Drosophila melanogaster: one gene and its partners. The protein of the gene in region 3 interacts with the protein of the main gene of each other region in a pairwise test. Each region holds a gene or a part of one and is shown on either strand. Other genes may lie near its edges.

What was found. Proteins that work in one complex are often made in the same cells at the same time.
Region 1: the proteins of CG5532 (region 3) and CG13887 interact in a two-hybrid assay, tested with the Drosophila melanogaster proteins (one large-scale study listed by BioGRID).
Region 2: the proteins of CG5532 (region 3) and CG13299 interact in a two-hybrid assay, tested with the Drosophila melanogaster proteins (one large-scale study listed by BioGRID).

What each region holds. Positions count from the first base shown.
Region 1 is NT_037436.4:836,016-840,626, reverse strand, and holds CG13887 (uncharacterized protein), read right to left. Parts: upstream 2,767-4,611; 5' UTR 2,507-2,766; coding exon 2,003-2,506; intron 1,525-2,002; coding exon of another isoform or gene 1,474-1,524; exon of another isoform or gene 1,378-1,473; coding exon 1,195-1,377; 3' UTR 696-1,194; downstream 1-695. Other genes in the region: JMJD5 (jumonji domain containing 5), read left to right, coding at 1-569; CG13901 (uncharacterized protein), read left to right, coding at 3,176-3,844; CG42554 (uncharacterized protein), read right to left, coding at 4,074-4,611.
Region 2 is NT_037436.4:6,231,110-6,234,328, forward strand, and holds CG13299 (uncharacterized protein), read right to left. Parts: upstream 1,253-3,219; 5' UTR 1,216-1,252; coding exon 1,155-1,215; intron 1,092-1,154; coding exon 814-1,091; 3' UTR 696-813; downstream 1-695. Other genes in the region: BG642312, read right to left, coding at 1,515-1,663, 1,728-1,812; CG42714 (uncharacterized protein), read right to left, coding at 2,509-2,612, 2,668-2,835, 2,896-2,929.
Region 3 is NT_033778.4:23,751,046-23,754,358, reverse strand, and holds CG5532 (uncharacterized protein), read right to left. Parts: upstream 1,606-3,313; 5' UTR 1,530-1,605; coding exon 1,454-1,529; intron 1,395-1,453; coding exon 1,132-1,394; 3' UTR 844-1,131; downstream 1-843. Other genes in the region: CG11300 (uncharacterized protein), read right to left, coding at 1,937-2,410; CG12491 (uncharacterized protein), read right to left, coding at 3,201-3,313.

The sequences.
Region 1 (4,611 bases), on a different chromosome or scaffold from region 3:
GCACGGTGCCCATTGAAATAGGTTCCAACTATGCCAGCGATGAATGGTCCCAGCAGCTGGTGAAGATCCGCGACTTCCTGAGCAGACAATTCGGAAAGGAACCAAGCAAGGCTGGCCAAAATATCGAGTATCTCGCTCAGCACGAGCTCTTCGCCCAGATACCAGCCCTCAAAGAGGATATATCCATTCCCGACTACTGCACCATCAGCAACGAAGATACCCCAGGAGCTGTGGACATCAAAGCCTGGCTGGGACCAGCTGGAACCGTATCTCCCATGCACTACGATCCCAAGCACAACTTGCTGTGCCAGGTATTCGGTTCGAAGAGGATCATCCTAGCTGCTCCTGCAGACACAGACAATCTGTATCCCCACGACAGTGAGTTTTTGGCCAATACAGCGCGAATAGATGCTGCTCAACTGGATCCTGAAACATATCCCTTGGTAGCCAAGGTGAAGTTCTACCAGCTGCTCCTGCAACCTGGTGACTGTTTGTACATGCCACCCAAATGGTGGCACTATGTGAGATCTGAAGCTCCTAGCTTCTCTGTAAGCTTCTGGTGGGAGTAAGCATTTTAATGCAGTTTATTGAACAGCAAATTTATGTAGGATGATCTCTGTTCAAGTTAAGATTAAAGTATGCACTGCAAAACCACGATAGATCACTAAATATGCGAATTTGATTAGCATTTCTGGGTAATTATCAAGGAAACATATTCGATGCCCTTTTCGCACACCGATAATGTAACGCCTCCGATTTCTAAGCTCCAAGTATGCAAACAGGTTGCGACGTCTGACGTCATTGCCGTGTACTATCAGACATGATGTGGACTATCCGCGCCAACAGATGAATCATCGAATCGATCACAACTGGATGGGTACTTTTTGGTTGTTCTTTTAATAGCCACGACGCTTTTTGGGTGTGTTACTGTGGCAAACAAAACTTAACACATACGAATTAAATACAAAACTTCGGACGAAACGAACATTGAGTTGAGGGACCATTATCAATATACCCCATTATCATTATCAAATGGTATATGTAGTTGTATCTATGAGGATTAACAATAAGATGTGTGTGCTTTCTATCGATTTGAAATCGTTATAATCTTTTAAATGTGCCTGCTTTCGCTGCCCCACCGCCATGCTTATAAGTCTTATCGTTATTTAAATGTTGGACTTGGCTCCAGTGAGTTTAATCATCCTTGTTTCCGCCTCCGCCGATGGTTATCTTCTTCTGCAGCTTGCTGTACTCCTCGGTGAGTCGGTCGTACTCGCGGTTGATGCTCTCCGCCTGCGACTTAACCGCCTCCTTGTCCTTCTTTTCGCGATTCAAGTCGGAGGTTAGCTCCTGGACGCGCTCGCGCAGCTTGTTGAGCTGCAAAATTCGGATTTCGTTTGAGTTTCGATTGGATTTTTGTTCGTTTTGGGTGTTTGGGAATGGATATAAGGTGGGTGCTCTAGGTGGGGATACTTAGGACACTCGGGCGGTGAGTCCTTGCACACGTCTCCGCAGTCTTGACAGCTGTTTAAAGAGTTAACAAGAGGTTTAAACTTTCGAGTGGTGGCTTCTGTTTATCGTGGCCCAACATATGTGTTTGGGTGTGGTTTCAAAACGTTTAGCTGCGGTCAAAACAAAAGCACTAAGCCTATGACAAATTCACTCGGTCTTCAAACTGATTTAAGTTTACGTTTAAGATTTTAATCATGATATATACTGGTATTTAAAGTTCTATATCGTTAATAGACTACATTTAAAGCCTTTTCGTATCTTATATTCAAAACCAATTGAGAAAATGTACCAGAAAGTGGAATGAAGTATAGATTTTATAGATTTAGTCGGCTAAAGACATTATCTCGCCATATTTTGACCACACCTTCTATATGCATTGCCATATCTTTACAGCTGGTAGTAGCCAATTGAACTCCAAAGTCTTAGGTGTTAGCTCTCTAGACATGCCATTCCTGGGGATCGGATGCAGGGGTTTGGGACGTGGACTCACCTCGATGAGAGTGGTATCCTCGCCGGCTTCCTTGGCCTTCTCGGTGTTCTTGTTCTCCAGCAAGGAACGTGCGGCTGCAGTGGCGCTCTGTGCCTGCTTGAAGGAAGCCTCGCTCTGGGCCATGAGATTGGCCTGGGTGCAGATCAAGTTTACCAGTCGCCGGATGACCAGGGCAAGGAAAATGGCGAATCCAGAGATGTAGAAGTTCCGCTGGGCACGGAACAGCTTCATGCTGTGCTGCATCTCCACGTTCAAGTGGACCTCGTTAGACTGCTGCAAGCCGGAGTACTTGCGCATCTCGCGAATGGCCTCCAGGAGGAAAATGACCAGAATTCCCATGATCAGCAGGAAATATATGTGCGCCTGTTGTCCCAACATCGATAGGAATTTGGACTTGAAGAACCGGTTCCAGCGGTAAGGAGTGAGCACCGGCAGCACCAGCAGAAGGACCAGTGCGATTTCCGCATAGAGAAATCCGGCGATCAAAGTCCACACCAAACTCATTTTTAATGTTTTATTAATTCCCTTTTTCGTTCGATTTTCGCTTCTTGGATTTTCGCTTTTTTCGACTGCCGCCTGTAAGCAGAAATGCGTCCAAATTAGCTGCTAAGTCTACGGATTCGGGACGGACGGTCTAGTGGCTATTTATAAACTACGGCCGGAGTGACTGGCTGCTTACTTTAAATAGCAATAATTAAATCGCTGCCGTGATGAAATATGCGTATATTTTATGTAGTCACTGCGCCGGCCACGTCAACTCTGTTTTTTTGTGTACGCACGGGGCTGCCAACTCGCGCGCTGGAATCAACTGTAAATTGGGTAGCCAGAAAAAAGCTGAATTCATGGAAAATATTCGAATTTCAAAATCATTTTATTAGTAAGTAAAAAAAATGGCAAGAATTAGTACGTATTTTGCATTAAAATTAACCATTACCTCCAAATATTACAAGACAAATCGATCATAAGGTATTGTATGTAATGCTTTAAAGTGCCTTGGTAACCCGGCTTGCGATGTAAACAAGCTGGCAGCTGGGTTGCCAGGTTTCCATCGCAATGTGCTTCTCAACAAATTTTCAACTTTGCGCCATCGATCAAATTTTCTGCCCCGTTCAGTTGTTATATTCGAATCTCCGGCGGAGACGTGTGCCTAGGTAATCCCATCAATCCCCAGAGATGTCCTACCAGAACTGGCTAAACTACCTGCAGGCGGCGGAGAAGAACTCCATGATAAGTGGCCGCGCCCGCAAGGTGCTCTACAAATTCCCGGACGGCAGGCAAATGGCCGAGGAGTACAACATGGACACGGGAATCGTGCAGCGGCGGGCCTGGAAATCGAAGAGCAACAAGATCATGGGCGAGTCGGAGTGGGAAATCGAGCTGGGCGATGAGCCGCGTCAGTTAAACTGGTCGGGCAACAAGCCACCAGGATCTGGCGAGGAAACGGACTCCCTGGCCGGCGGAGATTTCACCCTGCGGGAGAGCAACACCGCGCCACTGCTGACCAAGCGGATCACCAAGAAGAACATTGAGTGGCGCATCCGCAACATGCCCTACTCCCTGGACACATACAGCGTAACCGCCGATCCCGAGAAGCGTGCCATAGTCGTGCGCACCTCGAACAAGAAGTACTACAAGGTCATCCCGGTCCCGGAACTGGACCGCTGTGGGGTCAAGCCCGCGCAGGAGAGCCTCTCTGTCCACCACCAGTTCAACACGCTGATCATTACCTACCAGAAACCAGATATCCTCTGCGAGATGGAGGCACAGGTGCTGCTTCTGCTCAAGAATGTCGACACCGAAACCGACATGGATGATCTGCTGAAGGGTCTGATGGCCAAATAAACGACTTAGATTGTAATACACAAAGTATTATTATTATTATTATTATTGTGAATTAACCTAATTTAATTTATTTAGAGAATTCCCAAATACACTTCACAAAGGGAACTGCACAAAACGTTGAAATGAAGAACGTGCCTAAAATTAAATCCTAATCACCACTCAGCGGGCACTGCATTACCACGAGATCTTTCAAATTAGTTGAAGTTTTACAAATGGATCTTAACCAGGCCTATTTCTGGAAGCTCTCAGCCATGCCGGCATAGCTGGCCAACGAAGGAGCCGAGGAGCTGGTGAACAGGCTGTAATCGAAGGAGGGCAACTCCAAGGGCGCCAAGGATGGCAGGTCCAGGTCTCCACTGCCCGCCAGCCGCTGATCGCAAGTATCGTGTTCCTGCTCCTCCTGGGCAGAATCGCTCTTCTTCAGCGTCTCCATATGGGGCTCCGAATGGGCCAGTGTGCTAGAGGCCTTTGCCACCAAGGAGGAGGTGAACTTGGCATCGAAGTCCTGCACTGTTTTGTCGATTGCCTTGGCCACCGACTGAGCGGATCCTCCTGCGCCTCCACTTGCTCCGGCTTCTGGTCGCAGGGGCAGCATGGGACTGGTTTCCTTCAAGGGAGCATAATCCTTCAGCTTGTTCAGACCATGCTGCGTCTTTCGCATCTCAATTTGACGCAGTTTGCGCTGAAAATCGAGGGTCAATGTGTCCAGAACTTCCTTGGATTTGGGCAGAGCCACCCGTTTTTGGGCATCCTGCATGTAGATTAGG
Region 2 (3,219 bases), on a different chromosome or scaffold from region 3:
GTTGTAAACGCGTGAATATCGGTGAAAATTGTTTGAACGCTTACTTTTTAAATGAATTATACTTTAAATTCGAAAATTGTGAAAATCTTCCAGCTGTGTAAGGCTGTAAAATAAATATATTAAGTGTAATCAAAAGATTAATTGTGCACCACTATTAAGTTAAATTATCAACAAAATATGGTAATTTTGTGTTTATCTTATTAAATAAGAAGCTTCATGGAAAAATTTAAAGAAAAACAAAAGTTTCAGCTGGGAAAAGTAATTTATGTTAAGAGTAAATTTAATATTAAGCAAAGAAGGAAAGGATTAAGTTTTAAAAAAGGCAATTCTGGGTTGTTTCTGCGAATTAAAGAGAATTTATAGTGGGATCCACCAAAATCTCCGTCGGGTTTTTATATGGTTAGCCTAAAGGGCAACCGAAAAATCCGCCGGTGTTATAGCTTATTGAGTGCTACTTGGTAAATTTGCTCTGATTTTATGAATAAGAATTAAAATTAGCTTCTTTACACAGATGAATTTTATAAAACGGAATGGATTAAAGAGAAATTTATATGCGGGTGAGTATTTAAACCATGGGTCTTCAAAATACTCTGTTTTAAACCTCTAATTGTAACACCTAGGCTGAATTTAATTTTGGTTGAAAATTGGAAAGGATTTAGAGAAGCTTTCTTTAACATCCAATACTTGATAGTTTTAAGCCAAATCTTTTATTTTGGAACAACAATATTTAAGCAATATTTAAACAACAATATTTAAACCTACAACATGTGGAAAATGCAATCTCGAAATGTGCCAGATGGACTAGGATATTTTCTATTGATCCCTTATGAAGGTCCTGCCAAAGTTGATGACACTGCTCACGAATCCGAGCATGGAGGTGATCATGGAGTGGGCGTGCTTGGAGCTCTCCGTGGTTTCACCCTTGTCGCTTCTGCTGGGCCTTCTCACTTCTTTCCGACTTCCCGACGGTGATTCTTCGGTGGCAAAAAGACGATCGAACCTGAGGATGGGTTTCTTGAACCATTCGCCGCTGATCTCGTTGTTCCGTTCGTCATCCTCCTGGCTGAATCTATCGAATGGCAGGGCGTTGACTTGAAAGAAAATGCAGTTAGGTTTAAAATAATGTCATGATACCAGATGATCCAGTGACTCACTTGTCTGCATGACGAGACATCCGATAAGGAAGAGCAAAACCATCTTGCTTTCTGAGGTCATTTTGATTGTACTTTTCGCACTAGCCGGAGATTGATAACTGACTGAATCGAATGCCAGAGAGTTCATATTTTATAGACGCCAGCCGACGTCGGATGTCGCCCCACATTCTACGTGATAGAATGGAAAGTAACGATGCGCACGTTTCACCCAAGTAATTGCTTTATTTTACGCTTGTACATTTTGCCTAAGCTTAGAACTACATAGCCATAACCCTGAATACGACATAAAAAGTGGCACTCCACACAGAACCACAAATCAATTGTGGGCGTTGGGTGTCTCCAGCCTTTCAGATTTGCACTTCAAGGTCTTCGGGTATTCCGATCGTAGGCACTATCCAATTCTGCATCCGCATCTCGCTCATCAGGCACCGGGGGCTTTTGTCGATATCGATCCTCGAGTTCCTTACGTGAAAGTTGCGGACTCGGTGCTCCAGCACTCCAACCGATCACTGCAAAAATTCGGACACAGGTAATTGCATTTGATGCATAACATTTTTAGTTAATAACACTAACCGCAGATAACTAGCAGACATATCAGATAGAACTTAAGCGACGCGCTTCTCATGGCTGTGCTGGGATTGATTCGATTGATGGGCATTAACTGACAAGCAAAATTCGGTTGGGTCCACTTTTTATATGTGCAAGTGTGCCAGTCTGGAGCTCTTCACTGATTGGCGTTGAAGGAGGAGGCCAATGGGCATTGGCGCCGCGGCGAGAGATTATGCAAAGCACCCGTCGAAGACCCAAAAATAACGCAAAGAAAAAAAACTCAAATATAAAAAAAGATCACAAAAAATCCGAATTAAGATTCGTATAAAAGGCTCGAGGCGTCGTTCTGTCTCACTGAGTGGGAAAAAACGCTGCTGGGCATCGGTTACCTCCTACCGGTCTTTGACGTAGTCAACGTCGCCTGGCACGTGAATGGCCCGTTGCGCGTTGATTGATTGTTTATTGAAATGCTACCTAATGAACTTACACGTATGTCGTCGGCGATTAGCCAAGTCTTCACTCACTCTTTCTGGTGGCCAAAGAAGAGCGTCCTGAGTTCGTAGAGAGGGCTTCCTCTGTCTTGAAGAATGTATACTGATATTTATACCCACAAATTCTCTTATTTATACGCTGTTTTCTTTCCCCTTTTCTGGTTGTTGAAATTAAACCAAAACATTTCAATCATGCGGGACTAATTTCATATTATGTAAAAATACTCTAGAAATGAGAAAAAAATTTAATTTGAAAACAGATAAATTCTGTTATATAAGCGTAATGCAGCAAATTTTCGCACTTTCAATTAGAATTAATTCTCATGCCCGAAGAAAATGGTCCAGCGTTCGTATGTGGGTGAAATCTCACAGAGATACGATTCCATTGAGCAATATTCCTCATTAAAGTCGGTGAAATCTGAAATGAAATAATTTAATAATATGCGAGATTAAAGTTTAATAATCGGACTTACTTTTTCCTTCATGGCAAAATGCTATATCCAAATGACACTTGGATGGAAATTTTCGTATACAACCCATTTCCTCATCCAATCCGCAAATGGAACTTGTCTCATTCACCGTACCACAATTTGTTTCCACTTGGCACGGTTTTGGAGGAATATTCGCTCCAAGGGAACATGCTGTTTTTAGAAAGGACATCTTTACAAAGTCACTACTTACTATAACTTAAAAAATCTCACCCAGACATATTATGAAAATGCCAACTGCGTTCATTCTGGAAAACTAATACCTTTCGCTATGAAATGAAAAATAGCAATGCGGCAACTAATTAAGATCGGCGTGAATAAAAATAAACGGTTAGGCTTACTATCCTATCTTATCACAAATTTAAACAACGATGAACGAATTTTGCCATATTAAAAGATAAGATAAAACACAAGCACCGTAAATTGAATTAAGGTACCGATACATGTCACAATAATTTGTGATATAGATTGATCCCACACCTCAAACTTTTGTTTTGCCATCCTGCTAAAGTGAAAAAGTTTAAGATAATTCTTTAT
Region 3 (3,313 bases):
TTCCGCATCCGGCATCCGCAGTGGTTAACTGGAAGCTGTTTCCGTTCTAGTGAAAGTGTGAAAATGCAGCCGCATTGGGGGAACGTTTGGAACTGGCACGCAGACGTCACTGCCATCGAAATTGGAAGAAGTGTTTGCAGCTTAAAGTGTTTTTAGCTAGAATTTATTACTATTATACTCTGTACGAAACCCTATTGATTTGTTGTTAGTTCTAGCCGCAGCTAATTCTAATTTAAATGATTGCCTGTTTGCTGAGGGCAACGCAGCAGCCAGCAATGTTGTTATGTTCAGTACACGCATATATTATGTAATCTAATTTAATGCAAAATGCAAACAATTTTGTAAAATAGTACATATAATTCTGTAAAAACTTCATCTACACATGCACGCACTTTCGGCAGACAACCTAAATTATTTCTTGAGCCACAAATCAATCGAAAGGAAATTTAATAATAATCCCACTTTCCAATGTGATAAACATATATAATTTGTACACTCTACTTAACAAATATTTATCGTTTCCTGTTGGGAAAATGCTAGAAAGGTGGAGAATCGATAATATACTTACCTTGCCGCACTTTGCCTGCAGAAAACTCAAATTATTCACTTCATTATTGTAATAAACTTGTTAGAAGCCTAAATTCTAAAAAAAAAAAAAAATCCATCACTCTACGTTTACCTAGCCTAATGCTCTTTTCATGCAGCAACAAAATGTAATAGCTAAGTTTTAGTTGTAGTTAACTGAACATCGTATAATAGATGAAACTGTAAATTTATCACACACACAAAAGAAACAAAAGCTAAGTTAAACAATAAATATACAAAAAAAGATTTGAATGTACGAAATGGTGTATTTCTGTGCTTCTATGCGAACTGTCATACCAAAGTGCCTGAAAGTATGCTATTAAATGTGACCAAGTATTACAATTGAGTACAAAGAAGTCCACAAGTTAAAAGCATAGGTGATAAAATATATTTGCAGCAAGTACAGTTCCTAATCACTATCTTAGAAAGTGACACAGCGCATTACCAAAGTTCCAATCACCGAAAAGTAGAAAACCTATTCAATACGAATGAAGAATGAAGGTAGGGCAATCTCCTGGCAAGTCCAGCATGTGGCCGGAAATTAGCCTAAGGGGCCTTTGTGCCGGCGGGCATTAGGTAGCGATTATAGGTGGCCAGGTTCTTGACCAAGGCGGCCACGGATAGCATGCACACCATTCCGGCGGGCATCAGTTTTCCGGATCGGTTCCAGCGGGCGCCCATCAGCCCGGCCAGGAACAGGGAGGTGCCCAACTGGAGCAGGGGACGAGGCGTGTCCTGGGAGTTGAGGTGGGCGCCATAGCCGAGCAGGGCTCCGAAGGCCAGACCAGCACCCAGCGAGGGAATGGAACCTGGAATGCAGGGCGTTGCACAATCGGACATGACCACGGTCAGGGGGCTGGTCACTTACCCGCCTTGGCGTATCCCATGATTCCTCCGGCGGCGACCGTGGCTGCGTACACATATCCGAACCAATCCACCGGCATTTCGATTTATTTTGATTAAATTTCGGGGTAACCTTTGTTTTGGTGAGAAGTGGAGGTGTTAGTATGACCCTTCCTGCCTTAGTAGAAAGAAGATCCGCTCCGCAGTGCACGAAATTCAGACATCTGGCAGCACCGTTTCGCGGTCATTTTGAATTAAATATGTGCAACGAACTTCCTAATCAGAATATTTATTTCAATGTTTAGAACGCTTCTATTCGAAATATTCATTGCAATGTTTAGAAAGTTTGTTGGGCAAATATAAGTTAGTTTACTAATGTATGCATTACAAAAAGAGCGATGGTTCCTCTAATTTAAAAAGCCATTCAATACATTTATGTTTTTTTTAGATTTATTGCATTTCTGTCTGGAATTTTATTTCAAATTCGTAGCCAACATGTTCGTGAATTTTACAATAGACGACGGTGACGGTGTACACGGCGAACCACTCGCCCCTGACCACCACCTCCATTCTGATTACTCTGGTTGGCCTGACGCCTCTCGCGGCGGAGCTGACGCCTCAGCCGGCGCAGCCGACGCCTGAGCCTAATCACTTCCTGGCTGCTGCTGGATCCACTGTCACTGGGCGATGTGGGCGTAGCTGGTGATGTCGAGGAAGCGGGCGCATCAGGAGTAGCTGGCGAGGACGGTGTTCCAGTCGCTGGAGTTGGCGAGGTCGGTGTACCAGCAGCTGGGGATGCTGAAGGTGGTGTTCCAGTCGCTGGGGATGGTGAGGGCGGTGTTCCAGTCGCTGGAGGTGGCGAGGTTGGGGTTCCAGCCGGTGGAGATGACGCGGGTGGGGATCCTGCCGCAGGTGGAGAATCGGCGTAGGCAGTTGCTATTAGGGCCAAAAGCCCAAAGGCGATAACGAATTGGCAACGCATCTTCAGCTCAGTTTGTCACTAAATGGAGTACTGTGTGGATAGTGGTTTAAATCCGAGTATTTATAGGGATGATCCACTTGATTCGCTTTAATTGTCGAATCTGTGTTTGCTTTGAATGTTTTAGAGTACATTTTACGTTCTCGTCAAGACAAATAGATTAAACTCAATAAAAAGACGAGACTATCTTCTCTGTAAGCGCGAAAGCTGTTGATGGCTGTGGAAAGTTCTAATTCGTTAGTAATTAAACAAAACGGTTTTTTTTTGGATTGGCTGGCTGAACGTATTGTTAGCATGTGTGCAAACACGGTACATTGTTTATTAAATAGATGAATATGTATTGTTAAGCCTTTTGAACAGAAAGCCATATTTAAATAACCTCTAAGCTTAAATAAAGATTAAGATGGCATATTGTACATAAAGAATGAATTCTCACTAAAAGAAAACTTAGAACAAACTCCTATTTTTCACTTTCATTTGCAAGTTCCTAATCGATTAAGTTATCATCTGGAATTATGTCTGCACTTAGACCAGTTCCACTTGATCAACTAACTAGATCGGAAAATGATTTACTTAGGATTCTTCATTAGAGTATATAGTGTAGCCTTCTTCTTCTTTTCCAAGATGAAACCGAATATTGAATTTCTTTGTTTGACTAACAATTCGATCCAAATGATTTCACTTGTTTTTAAGGTGCCAAGTTACCAAGTCATAACTACGATTGTTGCTTTTGTGTATGCATTTATTTTTCAATTTGGACCATTTCATTGTTCGATCGGGTTAAGCCGATGGTTTATCCCCTACGTTGGCGCCTTCTTCCAGCACGACTCTGCTGGCGCCTTTCCTGCTGCCTCTCCCGGCGAATCTCCTGGCGCCTCTCCTGACGCCTCAGCCGCCGGAGCCTGC